Linked DNA regions of Struthio camelus. The protein of the gene in region 2 interacts with the protein of the main gene of each other region in a biochemical or structural test. Links are inferred from orthologs where the notes say so. Each region holds a gene or a part of one and is shown on either strand. Other genes may lie near its edges.

Region 1 (7,255 bases), on a different chromosome or scaffold from region 2:
ACACCATTTACACCAGTCGCCGCTCATTTCTTCGTAAACGCTGATGTGGTACGTTCTGCCAGGGAGTTTCCAAGTTCCCCTTCTTAGTTCTGAAGGTCACTGGCCTTTTTTAGCCAGATTGTTTTCCCTTGAAGCAGTGGGCTGGAGAGCAGTGCATGGCACTGGTTCCACTGTGGCTGGGAGCAACACAAACACTCCTGCCAAGCACTGCAAGCTGTCTCCTGGAGCAGGACTCAGGCGATTGCAGCTTTGGCTCGGGAAGCTGCTCTTTCATGTGGTCTCTCAGGGCCTCCACCCAAATCTAGGATCAACAGTGGAACTGGCTAACAGGAGGAGAGAGGGTGGAGAGAGATTTGGCTCTCGGTCCTCACAGCTGCCTGGCAGGCCCCCAGCCCACGGGGAGAAACGCAGGCTTCAACTACTATTTCCACGCAGGGCAGCGTCGCCCCAGGGGTATGGAGCGTCTCTCTCAGGCTTGCTCTAGGGGCTGACGGAGCTGCCTGCTGGATTTTAAGGGGGAACGCTGTCTTCCTCCAGAGCCCAGCACGGAGCCTATGCTCCCTCCCCGCCTCAGGGCCTCTTGCACAACCCTGGGACTGTAACGGGAGAATTTGTAAACAAGCAGGGAAGCACATGCCAGGGCTCTCTGGAAACAGTGTCCCCTTACAGGCCTCCCAGAGAAGAGATATCCACACCCTAGTTCTGGGCACCAGGACCGAGTCAGAGGAGAGACTCCCGGCCCTTCAGTTTCAGATCTGCATGCGTGAAGGGGACGCTGTGTGTCTGCGAAACCATGATGGACGTTGAGTCAGGGCCAGAGGGACGCAGACAGCGCCACCAAGCCTGGGCTGAGTCCTGGGCCCTAGACAGGAGGGAGCAGCAACGAAGTAGCAGGGTGGGAGACCCACGCACACGCTGAGAGCCACCCACCGCCCCCTGCAATGTCTCACTGGCACCACCACGCTGTCTGCTCTAAGCAAAGGATTGCAGGGTGCTGGATGTTCTTACCCTGACGCTGCCCGAAGCGATTAAAACCCAGGTGATGTCCAAGCCAAATTGACACCTAAAGTAAACACCACATCTGAGAGGCAGCTTCAGCATTCGCCGCAACCCCAGCCTATTAAATAGAACAGCCTCAGCTAAACTGCTGGCAAACAGCCCCACATACCGTATCTGGGGAAGAAGCGGCAAGCAAGTGTCTCTGCTCAGACGCTCCCATAAGCATACACAGCTTAGCAGAACCCTAGACAGCATCAAATACTGGCTGTCATAGTGATTAACATCCCTCCAAATGGGAAAGAATCCCACACACAAAGCTGAACAGCCCAAGTCAGGCCACAAAGCAAGCTCCCACTATCCTGAAACCTTTTTTTGTGTGCAAGTCTCCAGTTACTTTCAGCTTATTAAGGTACCAACATTTAGCCTGTCAGTCCTCTGGTATAGGAGAGTCTTCCATGCCAGGGAAGATCAGGGCTTTCTGCAGCAGTCCCCACGTTGGCCCTACCTTTTCCTCTCAAACAGCTGTAGGTGAAACGAGAGAGCAACGAGTTCAGGAAGAGCCTTGGGAAAATGAAAGAGGGGAAGCAGTCATAACAGGGAATTAAAGGCCAACCCACAAGATACAAGGCAAGGACCTCAGGCAAAAAACGGAACTTGGGCCACAGGATCCTCACCTGTGAGGACCGCTTCTTCCCTCCTGCAAGTCCCTCGTATAGCGGCACGCGTGCCAGCGCTCTGGAACAGGTCTCTCTACTTGATTCAAAAGGTATGAGGCACACTTGAGTGCTCATAATAAAACGATAATCCAGACTAGTCACGTTGCTCAAGCAATAGATGCTCCTTTGAAATTCTGATCCTACAGGCGCCTCGGGACATGAAAACCTGTCCCCCGCCCACCATGCTCTACAGAGAGACACCTAAAATCAGAGCCAACAAGGGCTGCACAAAAATCTGACGGTGCACTCTGCTCGTAACGTTATACGAGGCTGCTATCACCAGACTAAGAACACGGGCACTGTAAAAGTCAAAGCTAGCAGCGGTTTCCCACAGCTTGCTCCAGTGCACGTCGGAGGGACGGGGTGCTCAAGCTGCAGAGAACTGCTCGGAGGGAGAAGACAGGACGAGGTGCCAGCTGTCTTCGGATCATACCAGAAGACTTGCCAGTGACCAAAATTAGAACAACTAACGTGAGCCCTAAATGAGCAAAAGCCAAGCCTGCTTCTAACACTGGAAGACAACAGACAACGGGAATCTTATGGGATATGGACTTTTTTGCCTTCAGCTAAACACGCAAGTGTGAAGAGACCCATACCCAGCTCCCAAGTGCTATTTTGGAAGAGCTGTACAGCATAGGACTTCTGCAGCAAGCATCTAAAGAGGTGATGGAAAGGATTTTCAAGACATGTTGATTTAGTTCCTCTCAGAAGGCTACAGAGAGATTTTGCATCAATGCAGAGACAGAAGCGTCAATAGCTAGACAGTAAGTTTAACGGATTATGTCTCAGCCCTGGCTGTTTAGGTACAGTGTTTATCAGTCTATACCAGGCCATTTGGATCCGGCTAGGGAGTTGTATGTGCTGGGACTTTGAGAAATACTGATCTCTCCAGCCTCTGCCTACGTGTTACTCTTTCATCTCAAGAAGTGCAACAAAGTTCAGAGAAATACAAAAGAACTCGGCGTTCAACAAGGCAGAAATGGGCTGCCTCTACAGGAAACGTGCATTTCCTCCATAAGTGGTAGCCGCTCAGCCCTGCAGAGTGCAGGAGGCAGGACACAGGTCGAGGAGAGGAAGAGGTGACAGGCTCAGCGTTCATGCAGCCAAGACGCTGTACTTCATCCTTTCCCCCATTTTCCAGAGCCAAAGGCCAAGCCTGAAGGGCCTGCTTTAGCGTTTGACAGGACGAGTTGCTATAAACATATGGTGGTGACAGAGAGGCAATGAAGCAGCAGCCAGGAGCTCTCCTCTCTAAAGTGTTCAGTAATAACCTGTTTGTTACTACATTACAAACACTTGCAGAGAGGGAAACCAAAGCTTTGAGCCTGGAACTGTTGCTGCTCAATCAACAATACAACAATTGCCACCAAAACAGTAGGTTTTACTGCGGACAGCCAGGTTGATGCAGGTGCTCCCCTCCGTACCCTGGGCAGTCTCAGGAAGCCAGCAGTATAAAAGCACTGGAAGCCATATTTTTTGAACAATCTTCTGTTTCAAAGCAAAGCTTGATAAATCTGCCTCTACGGACAGGTGAGAGCCTGAAGAGAAACAACTAGTCTGGCACTTCCTGAAGAACCTGACCTCAAGAAGTTAAGGCTAGCGTTCAGCATAGAGCTATTCAACGTTGGCGCAACTGGCTAGCAACAGTCCTGCAGCACAGAGAAGTCCTCGGTTGGAAAGAACTATTACGGTGGCTGCTAGGGCCCTGACCACTGAGGTGTGGACAGGGCAACGTTACATCTTAGCAATACCACTGACTGAAAAGCTCCTTGGAGTCGCCATCAATGAAACGTTGCATTATAAAAGCCGTATCCGTTCCTCTCTACCGCTACGGCGCCACCGGAGCAGCGCTGCCAAGGAGCGGCAGAGGCATGCCGCTACTCCCTCGCTGAGGGAATGCAGGGCACGGTGTCTCCAAGGATCAGCAGTCAATGGGTGACACCGCAACAGGAAGAGTAAAACTAGGTATTCAACCACATTTTTACGTGGTGCAGAATGAACGCGACACCCACCCGTATCGAGAGAGACATCTTTTCCTGCTCCGAGCAGAGGGAGGGAGCAGCAGAGCCTGCAGCAGGCAGGGTGGGCGAAGGCACAGGCTCTCCGCCAAAAGGTTTGCGGTTGCAATATCTAGACAGTTCAACACATGACATGCGATGCTTGATCTTAACGGTGGTGCTGAAACAACGCTTCAGTCTCCTCCTTTGCCCGAACCATGTCCCAGTAAGGGAACAAAAGCAAAACTGACACTTCAGCTGAAGTGCTCTGCTAAGCCAGCCACAAGATAAGCATATTTAAGGTGGATTCAGTTCAGAGCGCTGTAATCTCATTCCTGCAGTACATATGGCACGTTGGATAGCAGACAACACGGAAGGTTGCATTAGTTTGTATTATAAACGGAGCAAGGGACACACTAGCACCCTACTGCTAACATGGTTTCGCACACCACAAAAGTTACTGAAGGAGGAGAGGGGAGGAGAGAGGACATCCAGAAAGTTGGACAGATCTAATTTTAAACCAGGGTTAATGGAAAACACAGAGGCATAATCTACAGGGTTTCAGATATCACGGGGCTCACAATGCGTTCCAGTGCCACCAAGGACTACAAGACAGAATCCAGAGAAATTCAGTCCATTTAAAAACTGGGGAAAACAAAACCCTAGTCTAGTTCAGGCAATAAGCAGCCTGAAGTGCTAAAACTCGGGAGGGGAGAAAACAAATGAATAAGTGAATTCACTTAAGAGAAGTGAACTCAACCAAGCTATTAGCTGCGCCCAGCTGTGCTCTCAGACAGGCAATTCTTAGCCGCCTGCCCCGGAAAGCGTTCCTCTTCCACGGGCGCTATCGGGACGCCTGCAGCTCCGCGCAGCTGTGGCTCCCCACGGCGCTTTCCGCCGCCGAGCTCCTGGGCGGACTCTCCAGGGAGAAACGGGGCGCGGACGCCCCTGGCCGCAGGCGGCAAGCGGCGGGTGAGGGCGGACAGCTCGGCGCGGCGCGGCCCTCCACCTCGCAGCTGTCGCACCTTCCTTCCCTAAACGCGGCCTCCACAGGCCGCGTTTAAGGGAGGGCCCCGCGCCCCGCAGCGCTACTCCGCCGGCGTAACGGCACTCCGGCAGCGGTGCGGGCCCAAGGCGGCCCGGGCCGCGCCCGGGGCTCGGAGGTAACGAAAACGGGGTAAAGGCGGCGCGGCGGCTCCAGCCGCCACCACCCCCTCCCCACCGCCCGACCGGGGCCTCCAGCTTCCCGGCATGCCGCGCGCGCACCGCCTCCCAGCATCCTCCGCGCCGCGGGCGGCCGAGGCCGCGGCCCTCAGGCGAGGACTACAACTCCCAGCTTGCCTTGCGCCGCGGCGCTGCCGCCGGCCCCGGCGCGCGGCCGCGGGGCGTGCCGGGAGTTGTAGTCCGCGGGGTACTCCCGAGGGGGGGGAGCGGGGGAGGGGAGAAGCAGCGGAAACCGACCTACTAGTGTCTCCTGCACTCGGTCCCGGCGGGGCTCTTCACGGTGACGGCTCCTTCAGTCCCGGGGCGTTTGTAAAGGAAAGCTTCTCCGGGGAAAGCTCGAGGAGGGCGCGTGTGCCTCGGCCGCCGTCCGCCGTCTCACACCGGCCCACCGGGCCTCCGCCCACCTCGACATGTCCCCGACTAATCGGGACGGAGCGAGCGGCTGGTCGAAACCTGGATTTCCCCGGGCGGGCGGACGGGCGAGCGAGCGACCGAGCGAGCGACCCTCTCCTCAGGCACCGGACGACAACAAGCGGCGAAGCCCCGCCCCGCCCGCGGCCCGGCCGTCCCGAGCGGCTGCTGACAGCTCCCCCCTCCCCCATTGGAGGACGGCCGTGGCGATCCCCGCGGGGCTCTCCTCCCATTGGCGAGCGCAGAAGTCAATCAGGAGCAGCGCGCCCGCCCTCCGAGGGGACTGAGCCTAGCCCCTCCCACTTGCCGGAACGCTCGGGGCCCTGATTGGCTGGCGGGGACAAAGACGCAGGGAGCGGCTGTCAATCACAGGAGCGGCGCGCGGCGCCCCCACCCGGCTCGGCGGGGGCAGCGCAGAGACCGGCCGCCCCGGGGCAGGGCCCGGTGCATGGGAAAGGTCCAGGCGCTGCAGGCCCGGCTCCTCCCGGTGCACCGCGAAGCCTGGTGGGTCGGGAAGCTCGGTGCACCGCGAAGGTTGGTGCATTGCGAAGCCCGGCTCCTCCTGGAGCACCGTGAAGGTCGGCGGTCGCAAAGCCCATCTCATCCTGGTGCAATGCAAAGATCAGTGGTTGCAATGCCCGTCTCGTCCTGGAGCACCATGAAGGTCGGCGGTCGCAAAGCCCATCTTGTCCTGGCGCACTGTGAAGGTTGGTGGACACAAAGCCCATCTCATCCTGGTGCACCACGGAGGTCAGTGGTCACAAAGCCCATCTCGTCCTGGTGCAATGCAAAGGTCAGTGGTTGCAATGCCCGTCTCGTCCTGGAGCACCATGAAGGTCGGCGGTCGCAAAGCCCATCTCATCCTGGCGCACTGTGAAGGTTGGTGGACACAAAGCCCATCTCATCCTGGTGCACCACAGAGGTCAGTGGTCACAAAGCCCATCTCGTCCTGGTGCAATGCAAAGGTCAGTGGTTGCAATGCCCGTCTCGTCCTGGAGCACCATGAAGGTCGGCGGTCGCAAAGCCCATCTCATCCTGGTGCAATGCAAAGATCAGTGGTTGCAATGCCCGTCTCGTCCTGGAGCACCATGAAGGTCGGCGGTCGCAAAGCCCATCTCATCCTGGCGCACTGTGAAGGTTGGTGGTCACAAAGCCCATCTTGTCCTGGTGCACCACGGAGGTCAGTGGTCACAAAGCCCATCTCGTCCTGGTGCACCACGGAGGTCAGTGGTCACAAAGCCCGGCTCCTCCGGGCCTGCTGGCTGTTCCCCTACAGAGGGGAGTGGGGCCACCCTAACGATTTGGGGAGAGAGCGGAAGGTGGCCACTCCAAGGGAACCTTCCTTGCCAGGGGGTCCCTGGCCAGGGGTGCACCATCCTGCACCCTCGCAGTGGTCACTGCGCCAGGCCCACCGCACCCCTGATCAGGCCGGCTCACTGCCTTGGCCGAGGCTGCGGGAGGAGCGGAGGAAACGGGGCTCTGCTGCTCCGCGATCGCTCCGCGGTGCAGGCACGGCTGGTGCCGCTTCCACACCTTGATCCCCTGCCGGCTGAGGCGCGGGCACTAACACGCTCCGCAGAGCGCTGCGCGGACCGGCCCGGGATGAAGGCTGGGGTCATTCCCCATTTCCCCTCCAAACGGGGGCTCTGTGTGGAGCAGACTGGTGGCCTCTGGCCACGTCCACGTCCCCGTTCAGCACGCAGAAATGTCTGGCCAAGAGCGTGATGCGCTGCAGGAGCGTGAAGCACTCAGAGGAAACGAAGACACGTTTGAGCCCGGGGGGAATCCAGCACTTGGGAATCTCAGCTGCTGTCGAGCCGCTCCGTGTCCCTTGGCAGCTGGAAATGCTGAGAGCAAGGGCTGAAGGACCTCAGCGAGGTTGGACCTCCTCGGCTTCAACAGCCTCGC
Region 2 (10,168 bases):
AAACCTAGCAGATTATTTCCACAGATCACTGAGGTACTACACACTGACAAATTAATCTGGCAGCCAGCAGCCAAAACCACCATCCTGTTTTGCTTACCTCTCCCTCCATACTGCTGATCCTCACCAGCTCATTGAGGATCAGTAAGGCACCATGGATTCGGTCATCACGGTTCATCCCTTTCTCCTTGGCCAAAGTCTCATCAAAACCCTTCTCAGCCTCTTCATACGTATGCTGGGAGCGGAAGGGGGAAAATAAAGATCACAATCGTTATAATAGAAGCAAAGCCTGTGGAAACAGAGTAAGTAGCACAGCCAGTCAAGAGTTACTGACAGGCTGTAATTTTCAAGAGTAGCCACAAACCTCAACTGAGTTAATAGCAGAGCATAACACCAAGAACCTGAGTTTCGCTCTGCTGCAGAGTGCTTTCAACAGCCCTGATCAAAAAGCCAGTCAGCCATCCCAAGGTACAAACTCTGTCAATAGCTACATCACATACTTGACAGTGAGAAATCCAAGTTGACAACGTTTCACTGCACTTCCAAACCTTATTTAATATTAAGGAGCTTGAATTCCTGTGACATGGCAGCAAGCTAAGGTTCAGACAAAAGAATCCTTATTTATTTCTCTGTATGTTTCATCTACACTAATAAAACCATCTACTAGTAAAAGATGGCACTAGATAGAAAACTGTTTGGCTGCAAAACGCAATCAGGCTCAACAGCTGAAAGTGAGTTAGAGACGGTGCAATAGATTCCTGATGGAATTAAGGCTCTTGCTTGCTTTTATAGTGGTCTTAAGGAACTACTTTGATTGGACGCCACCATGTTTTCAATCCTGATCGAGGGGAGGCGGTTTTCTACGAACAAAGCAGAGACATGCTGACAAAAGCGAAGCAGTTTCTTAGCTTGGACAGCTCTTCTGGTACTGGCGCTTGATCATCTGCATTGCACTATAAAGCAGCTGTTTCAAAACTAAATTATTTTCTTACTCTGTACCACTGGGGCTTCTGCATCTCTTTAGGCTCACGCTGAGTAGTGAGGATAAGGCAGGCTCTTAAGGCAGAAACAGCTCCCTCTCGGATGGCCTGTTTGGGATCCCACACAGCCACAAAAATATTGTCAAAGAACGGCTGCACTTGTTGGAAGAAGAAGGTAGGCACGCTGATTGCCAGCTCACGCAGGACAAGAACCTGGAGACGGGAAAAGGAACAACAGTAGTCTGTGAGGATGAGCACCTCCAGACAGGCATCATAATTCCTAGTCCATAGCATCACTTACTTAGAGTGCTAATATCTGAGAACCAGAGCTGTTTCCAGCTCCTTTTATAGTATGTAGCACAATGGTGTCTCAATCTTGTTTAGTCACCGAGCATTACTATGGTAGAAACGATGAAGAATCAATATATCTGCTATGGGAGCGTCACACATCCTCAGGCATGGACTGGCAGCCATTGCTTCTCAACTAGAGCTCTTCCCCAGCTTTCTGGGCACATCTACCACTGTTACTCAAGCCTAACCCCCCCCTTCCAGGACAAAATAAAAAGGACCACTTACAGCTGCATGTCTTCGACCTTCATTCCTGTCAGCTCCCAGCCACTCCAGAGCTCGTTTCACCTCAAACTCCACGTACTCGGCGGTGAAGGTGTCACCGGCCATCGCGAGCCTCCCAATAGCCTTGGAGGCCATCTCCATGACAACAGGGTCATTGGACGGCAAGAGGTTCCGCAGGTAGTTGGCGAACCTGCCAATACGGGTGGCGTTACCTCCTTCAACACCGATGAGACTTGCTGTGGAGAAAGGAAGCAGGGCTATAGGTTGCACCTAAGAGTCAGTGAGGCAGACAGTAGGTAATCCCTGGATGAGAGTTAGTATTCCCTGTCCATTCCTTAAAGATTCCCATTAACTCTTCCTAAACTGCAAATCCACAGAAAAAAAATCAAGCAATAGGAAAGGGTCACCATTCTTCCGAGCCTGAACTTGTTAAGTGGACAGGAAAATGCATCAGTAGCTTCATAGATTTTCCCCATTTTTAGTTTAAAAAGAAAAAATACATCCACCCTGGGATCACAGACCCATTCCCAATAGAAAGGCATCCACATGCAACTACTACAGCTGGTCCGTCTCAGTAGAGAGGTCAAAGACTGAATGGACCAAGGAAAGCGCTCTCCCCCTCGCCCCTAGAGACGGTCTCTCCAGGCCAGGGTGGAGGCACGTTGGCAGGGGGCAGTGTGGCAGAAGCTTGCACTGCCGATGCCTGGGTTGTACCTGCTCTGTAGATAAAGAGGCCGTCAGTGTCCAGGGTTGTCAAGCCGGCACCTTTCAACAGCACTAAATTCACAGAAACAATTTTAAAGTGATACTGTCAGCTTAAAATCAGATGTTGTCAACAAAGATTTCTCTAGCTAAGGGACTTCCGCTGTCTTCAAATATGTTGGGGTCGGACGATTACGTCTGCGAGCCTAACCCATAGGCAACTCCTATTTGGCTATTAAAAAAAGCAAATGCTACAATACGGGCTACACAAGCTGATTTCCCTAGGAGTCGCAATGCAGGCAGTTCTGCCATATCACAGTGAAAGCACAACCAGAGCAACTGATAGAGCAGCTGATGAGAATAAAAGCAAAAGCTACGTGAGCCCCTCCCAGGGATGGAAGCTGCTGTCATTGAGCCAAGTGAATTTAAATAACAGGAATCAATGTCCTCAGGCAGAACGGAGCTCGGAAAGTCAGCCCACCATGACACACATAAGCGGACAGCACAAACTCTGTTTTCAGACGAGCTCAAGATCAGAATTTTCAAGCGCTCGGCGCTCATATTCGATGCTCAGCTCCCAGAAGAGCTCAGCGCCCACGGAGCACCAGGTTTTCAGCCACTCTCAGCACTCAGCAGCTCCCATGCTGACGCTCTTGGACAGATTTTCAAGAGAACCCAGTGACTAGCACGCACCCAGCGTACTAAGCGGTCAAACATAAGGCCACGATCAAAAAAGTTCATTCCTTTTGAAAAGCTGTCCCTAAAGAGTAGTTGCGTGAAGAGAAAACTCACCAAAGGCATTAAGCACTTTCACTCACCTATAGCCAGAATGCCACCCTTCCTTTCATTTGCATCAGAGCTAGAGACCAGCTCAAATATGTGATGGTTCAGCTGATCATAAAATTTGGTAGATTCTTCTTGACTCATCTGCAAAATGAAAAAGTTCAAATCAACTTTCATCATTCTCCACGACCACAGACACCCCCAAAAAGACAACGCTTTCCAGGTCCCTTAAACACAAAGAAATTAAGTTAACCATACATTACAAACACAAAATGGTATAGCTCTTCTTTGTGCCCTAGACCTATCAGGTTGTATTTATTCTAGTGCTTGGCCATCACCGGAGTCCCCAACTCAGGCACCCTGCCCACATGCCAGGGCAAAGGTAAGCTCCAGTCTTTGCTGGACCTCCTCTCTAAGACAGTTTCCATATTCCAAAATCTCCACCCCCAAAGTACCCAGCCAATGCATTACACCCATGTGATAAACGTTCTCATTTGCAGGACTCACTTCGCGGAGCTCCATGGTGACATAGTGTTGCAAGTCCTTGGCAGCTTTTGCCCTTGTCTCTTCGCTGCGACTCTTCAAGCCATTGGCAAATTGCTGGAGAATGGACACAGTGCCTGACATGATGGCGGTGTGCTGGGGCTCGGCGCATCAAGTCCTGTAAGTACTTCAGAGAAAAATCTTTTTAATGCTTTCAGCTATTGCATACATCTGAAGTTCTTCCTTGACACTGCCCCTACTGACTGTCTCCAAAATACACATCCCAAAGCTTGAAAGGAAGTTGTTCTGAAAGAGTGTAAAAAATATAACTAACGACTAGTTTCCCTAGGCCCTACAACACTGTGATAAAACCACATCATCACATAACGTCATGACCCAGCTCCCTCGTTCCCTAGTTCCCCAAACATACCTCCAATAGGTCAGATTCCTAATCCTATGGGGATCTAACCCTAAGTTAAAGGGCATGCGACAGCTGAAAAGATACTAGGGTAGAACCAAGCTCTAGAATCACTCTATAAAAAGTAGGCAAAATAAGTAGCTCTGTCATTGTGTCGCTGCCGTATTTGACTCCTCCATGAACACCTTCGCCCAAGGACCTCCCCAAAAGCCTCGCTGGTCTAGCTACACAACCAAGACTCAGCACCCTGGGCCTGGTAAGCGTTACATCCTCCAGCACGTATTTATAAGGGGGAAGTCTACTGTCAGCAACGGCAATCACTGCAACAGGATGTTTACTATCGCAACGCACAACCAAACTTTCTTACGAGCACTTCTCCTTGGGGAAAGTTGTCTTTCCCCTGAAGTCCTGAACCCCCCTGGATCCTCAGGCTGTATAAACCCAAGCTGCGCGCTTGCACCCAGCAGGGCCGGGGAGCGACACCTGAGCGCCTTCTACCCCGCGCACCGCCGCAGAGCCCCACCGAGGTCACAGAAACGGCGGGGCGGCCCCGGCCCCCTCAGGCCGCCGCCAGGGCTGAGCCGGGCGGCGGGAGCGCCGTGAGGCGGCAGCGGGAGCGCCGCGAGGCGGCGCCGGGGCCCCGCCGCCGGGATGCCGGTGAGGTGAGGTGGGGTGGGGTGGGGCGGGCCAGGCCGGGGTCTCCCGCCGGCGAGGCCGCGGCCGGCCTGGAGGCCGGTGCCGCTGACGGGGCGCGAGGCGCCGGCCCGGTGAGCGGCGAGGTGGGGGAAAGGGGGGGGGGTTATTCCCGCCGGAGGGACGGGGAGGCTCCGGGAGCCGCACTCACCGCCTCCGCCCCAACCGCCACCGGCTCCCCCGCTCCGGGCCCCTGCGCCCTCCCCTCCCCCCGCGCCTGCCGGGCCGGCCAGCCGCCGCCCGCCAATAGGCGCGCCGAAAGACTTTGACGGGCACGGCTTTCGGCCAGTAGAAAAAGAGAAGGGAAGGCGCCCTCCCGGCCCCGCCCCTTCTCCCGAGAACCGCTAGGAGCGACTGTGGCGGCTCGACCAATCATCAAGCCAGCTGGGAGTAACTGACAGTACGGAGTGACCAATGGGAGGGCCAGGAATGCTCGATTGGTGAAAAGTCGGGCTAGGCCTGCCCTCCGGACTCCCACCGGCTTCCGCCCCTCCGTAAAGCGTGTGCGCTTTCTGCGCATGCGGAGGGAGGGGAGCGGGGCTGCGCCCGGTGTGCGGCACTGAAATGTGTCCGGCTTCGCATGACAGCGCCAAGGGCAGCGGGGCGGGGGGAAGGCGGCGGCGGCGGCGGCGGCGGAGCCGTGCTCCGTTACCGTAATGGCACCGTGTAGCAGCGCCGGCGTGTTTGTCGTCCCATGTGCTTCGAAGTGACCACTAGCAGCCGTGCGTAACAACGCGGGGCGTTTAACGTTTACACCGGGGCGGGAAGTACTTACGGGCCGTTAAGGAGCTGCGTGGGCCTCCCCCCGTCTCCTCCCCAGCCCGGCGCTGCGGCGGAACCCTCAGCGCGGCGCCGCTGCGGCGGGGAAGGGGAGGAGGGGGGGCTCAGGGGGCAGCGGCCGTTGCGACCGTTGTGGCGCAGGCGCGCGGGGCGGCGGCGGCGGTTGGGGCGCGCGCGGCGGCGGCGGTTGGGGCGCGCGGCGGCGGCGGCCGTTGAGGCGCGCGCGCAGCGCCCTGTCAGAGCGGGTGAGGGCGGCGCGCGCGGCCCCTCAGGCGCTGCCCGCCCGGCATGGCGGCGGCCGTGGCGCTGCTCCGCGGGGCCCGCGGCCGTTGGGGCCCCGGGGCCGGGCGGCGAGGCTGACGCGCGGCCCTTCTCCTTCCCAGGTGCTGCTGCTGTGAGGCGGTGTGGCCGGGACCGCGGGCAGAGCATGGGGTCGGGAGAGCTGATGCAGAAGATCAGCATTGGCGCAGAGAGCCCCCGGGGCGGCGAGAGGAGCGACTTCGTCTCCGGGCTGGCTGTGCCGGAGAGGGGCCCCCCCGGCTCCTGGAGGCAGAAATGTGCAGCCTACGTGCTGGCCCTCAGGCCTTGGAGCTTCAGTGCCTCCCTCACCCCGGTGGCGCTCGGCAGCGCCCTGGCGTACCGGGCCCAAGGAGCACTAGATCCAGGGCTACTGGTGGGAAGCGCTGTGACTGTCCTCGCTGTGCATGGAGCAGGCAACCTGGTGAATACTTACTATGACTTCTCCAAAGGCATTGATCACAAGAAGAGTGATGACAGGACTTTGGTGGACCAGATTTTAGAACCTCAGGATGTAGTCCGGTTTGGAGTCTTCCTTTACACTGTGGGCTGTATCTGTGCTGCTGGGCTCTACTGTGTCTCTACACTCAAGCTGGAGCACCTGGCCTTGATTTACTTCGGGGGACTTTCCAGCTCCTTCCTTTATACTGGAGGTAAGCGTTATATCCCATTCCCTGTGATTCTGATGCGGACGTGGGAGAGTTTACTGACTTATCTAAGGGCTTCTGGAAGCTCCAAGTGATCTGGTTAACTATTGTACAGCTATTTGGTGACACTTCCTAGAGTACTGATACTTAGACTGGTATTCTTTGTCACTGGTTGTTTTGGGAAGGCATAGGAGTAGATGCACTCAGTTCTTCAGCTGGCAAGTGCTATTGAGACATTATTGCATATATGACTTTAGGTGCTTTTCAAAACTTGCTGAAACGTTGGATGATGTGTATCTGGTGTCCCTTGACTGTATAGCTCACTGCATATATTCTTTTTTATGGGTAGAATTACATTATGCATTGTGTTGGAATATGTTGTTATTCTTCAGAAGGAGTTTCACTGGGACTGTAGAATAGTTTTTGTATTTGTTTTTACTAAGGAGAGAATTTTTTTTTGCATAGAAGAGGATGTTTTGATGTCTTCCTGGGTTGGGTAAATACAAACATAAAATATTTTGCTTAGGAAAACAGGAGCAAACTTTTAACTGTCGCATGAGTTTACTTGAAAGAGCCTTGTCAGTTTTGTGTTTTGTTCTGAGCGTTTTATCTGTTTCTTCAGGGTCAGATCTAGTATGTCTGATCACTGTAGAGAGTGCCTTATTTCTATTGATTTCTGTGGAAATAGGGTATTTCTTGGTGTGAAGAAGGGTATTAGAACCCGGCCCTTAATTTTGTCGAGTGGTTTGGCTGGAGAAATTCAGAAGCTGCTTTTCTTTTATTACCTTTAGAAAAGAAAAAAAGAGAGAACGTTTGTCAGCTTTAGGTATGTACCTGTTGTTTTTTTACAATGCTTCTGTGGGAACAGCTGATCTGTTATAAAAAAAATCCATTCTCCTCTGTAGTTTGAGTCGTTTGATGACACTTCATTTTATTCTTGTGTCTTGCCACAGGAATTGGATTTAAATATGTTGCACTTGGAGACGTGGTGATCCTGATCACCTTTGGGCCCCTGGCTGTCATGTTTGCCCATGCTGTGCAGGTTGGTTATCTGTCTGTCTCACCGCTGCTCTACGCTATCCCACTAGCTCTCAGTACCGAGGCCATCCTGCACAGCAACAACACGCGAGACATGGAGTCTGACCAACAGGCGGGTATTGTCACCCTGGCTATCCTCATCGGCCCTGCCTTCTCCTACATTCTCTACACCGTGCTGCTCTTCTTGCCCTACCTGATTTTCTGTGTGTTGGCCACACGCTACACCATCAGCATGGCCTTGCCTCTTCTCACCATCCCAATGGCATTTTCACTGGAGAGGCAGTTTCGGAGTCAGAGCTTCAACAAAATTCCTCAGCGGACAGCCAAACTCAATCTCCTCTTGGGGCTCTTCTATGTTTGTGGTATTACCCTAGCACCAGCCGGGGCTCTCCCCAAACTGTAACAGGAGCTGTAGAGTCAGGCCTCACAACTCAGTATTAACACCAATTAACAGTGGTCGATGTGGGTGGATGACCTGTTACGGACAGTAGGAAGAATGGAGAGACCTTCTTGAGCTCATGATTGTATGTGAATTTTATAATTTCTGGTCTCAGTTAGCTTGCACGACAGATTTCTGAAAAGTGCTTTGTCAGTCCTTTGGAAGGGATGACCTGCGCTGCGTTGCTTCAGGAGGAACAATGCAACTTGAGAACAAGGAAACGTTTAAAGAACCTTGTGCTTCTGCCACTGAATTCTGAGGGGCTTTCACCGTTAAGTTAACGGAAATAAGCCTGAGCCTCAAATATAAACTCTCCTTTCCATTTACAAGCACAAGGATTGCTCTTATGACTCCTTTACCGCGGTCAAGGGCTTCCAGTGTCTCCTGCGCGGTAAACACAAAGCACTGCCAAATGTTTAGTGTCACAACAATGCAGGCGCTCTCGCTTCGCTCCCTTGTGACCATAGTTCATCTTCATCTGTTGTATGTTTTAATCTTTTTTGTTTTTCTTTTCCTAGCCGAACTTTGAACTTATGTTTCCCAGCCCCTGGAAGACACCAGATACACAAGCATTCGCTGTTGCCTCTGCTTGTTCCTTATAGTCAATGTGTTTCTGTGGTATGCTGATGCTAAAATGGAGCACGACTGGCCCACCGCATAAGCTTTAAGACAAAAACCAGTAAACTTTATCCCTCTAAGAAAGTTGAAGTCATAAATGCAAATTATGCAACTGAAAAGCCCTCAACACCTAGGAAAACCAGTGGCTTTCATTTCTGCATTTGCTTAGGATTTACTCTCTGAAATGACAGTCTTGGAGTTGAGGGGATCTGACAGACAGGGTGACAGAATTCTCTGGCTGGATACAGATAAATGGATGTATTCTTAGTTGGAAAAACTGGTTTTTCCAGTTGTCATTCTCTCTTTTTATTTAGAGGCCCAGAGTATTATAGCTGAACGTCGTTTTTTAAGAGGCCCTGTAAGAAGCCTTGGTGGCAACAAAGGAAAAAGATACAAGATTAGAAGGAAGAAATCAGGATTCTTGCATTGGCTCGGCCCAAAAATTGGGACTGGGAAAGGGATGGAAATATTTTTGCTAACATGTTCTTTTTCTAATGGAGTAGAGGGTTTGCATGACTGAAAACACATTTATGTGATAAGTTAGCTGTGAAGTGGGGTTCCCCACCTCTTTCCACCTCTACACCTTATGATTTTAATTTTCTTCTGCAGGTTTTGCCACTTGATTCACATGGCCTTTTGGGGAATGGGTAATTTCAGTCAATATGTAGCTGTGTGAAAAACAGACCATACCAAACTCAGCTGGGAAATACCAGTGATTTTCAGTGGAGCCATAACCTAGGATGAGTTTGGTCCGTTCCGTGTTTCCTGGTAGCACCTGAACTCTCTTCTTGGTTGAAGAAAAAGTATTGGTTTCTTATACGTGAGGTTTTGGTGAAATGTTTATTCACAGAAGTTGTGAAAAGGTTGACTGGAATCGATACAGCTGTTGGACGGGAGCTGCTGGTGCCTGGAGCACAACCTTGCTTTTGAATCAAACGAGAGTAGGCTTTTAAAGGTGAGCAATAAACTACCAACACAAGCTTAGCATTATCCTGCATCTGTCCTAGGTAAATTATGCCCTTGTGGTGTTCATCTGAAAATGCTGGGTGTTACATTAGTGGAGCGTACTGACAGCGGTAAAGCTGAGTGGATACGAGGTTAGTTCAAGTGACTGTTTTTATGGCTTCCTGTTACCCGGCTGTTGGTCTGTTGCTTCACAGCTGAGTTGTAGTTAACTATAAGGATTCTCTCCAGGCAGATTTTGCAAGCCCCAGGTTCACCTTTTATTAAAATTGGGCAGATGATCTCTAATCTGACTAGGCACAAGCCAAAAGGCAACTGGGTGCTGCTTTCTACAGCTAAAGATTTGTATAGGTTAGGAACAGGATGAGAAGATGCTGAAGTTCAGCTCAGCCAAATGGAGGGAGATAGCCAGAAGCTTTTGGAAGCAGCTTTCAAGACAGTTGTGTACAACCCAGTGTCTACTGTTACTTCATTGCGGACCTAAAGAAGAGTCTAGCTTAGAAACCCACTTAACTTTTCTGCGAAGCAAAAGACATGGCTTGAGTTGGTTAATCTGTTAATCTTACCCTTTTGGATAGGTGGTTTTATTAGGTTAAGCCTAGCATGGCTTTGTTGCTATCCTTCTTAGCAGCTGAGTGTTTTGTTTTGTGATAGCTTGCTCTTTTATGCTATCTGTTTAAAAGAATGTAGTTACCCCTTTCTATTCCTTTTCCATACAGTGGAGTACTCGAGCTAAATTCCTTGAAGTAACTACAAC

The links.
Region 1: of the proteins of MTOR (region 2) and MAF1, one has a biochemical effect on the other in vitro, tested with the Homo sapiens proteins (2 studies listed by BioGRID and IntAct). The link is inferred for Struthio camelus from reciprocal best matches to the Homo sapiens genes MTOR and MAF1.

What each region holds. Positions count from the first base shown.
Region 1 is NC_090943.1:172,999,919-173,007,173, forward strand, and holds the start of MAF1 (repressor of RNA polymerase III transcription MAF1 homolog), read right to left. Parts: upstream 5,529-7,255; 5' UTR 5,174-5,528; intron 1-5,173. UniProt on the Homo sapiens protein: Plays a role in the repression of RNA polymerase III-mediated transcription in response to changing nutritional, environmental and cellular stress conditions to balance the production of highly abundant tRNAs, 5S rRNA, and other small non-coding RNAs with cell growth and maintenance.
Region 2 is NC_090962.1:6,553,250-6,563,417, forward strand, and holds the start of MTOR (serine/threonine-protein kinase mTOR), read right to left. Parts: upstream 5,425-10,168; 5' UTR 5,405-5,424; intron 5,352-5,404; coding exon of another isoform or gene 5,324-5,351; exon of another isoform or gene 5,135-5,323; intron 4,895-5,134; exon of another isoform or gene 4,781-4,894; intron 3,706-4,780; 5' UTR 3,663-3,705; coding exon 3,543-3,662; intron 3,180-3,542; coding exon 3,071-3,179; intron 2,328-3,070; coding exon 2,265-2,327; intron 1,787-2,264; coding exon 1,554-1,786; intron 1,191-1,553; coding exon 990-1,190; intron 233-989; coding exon 98-232; intron 1-97. Other genes in the region: UBIAD1 (ubiA prenyltransferase domain-containing protein 1), read left to right, coding at 5,324-5,351, 5,793-6,359, 7,307-7,794. UniProt on the Homo sapiens protein: Serine/threonine protein kinase which is a central regulator of cellular metabolism, growth and survival in response to hormones, growth factors, nutrients, energy and stress signals.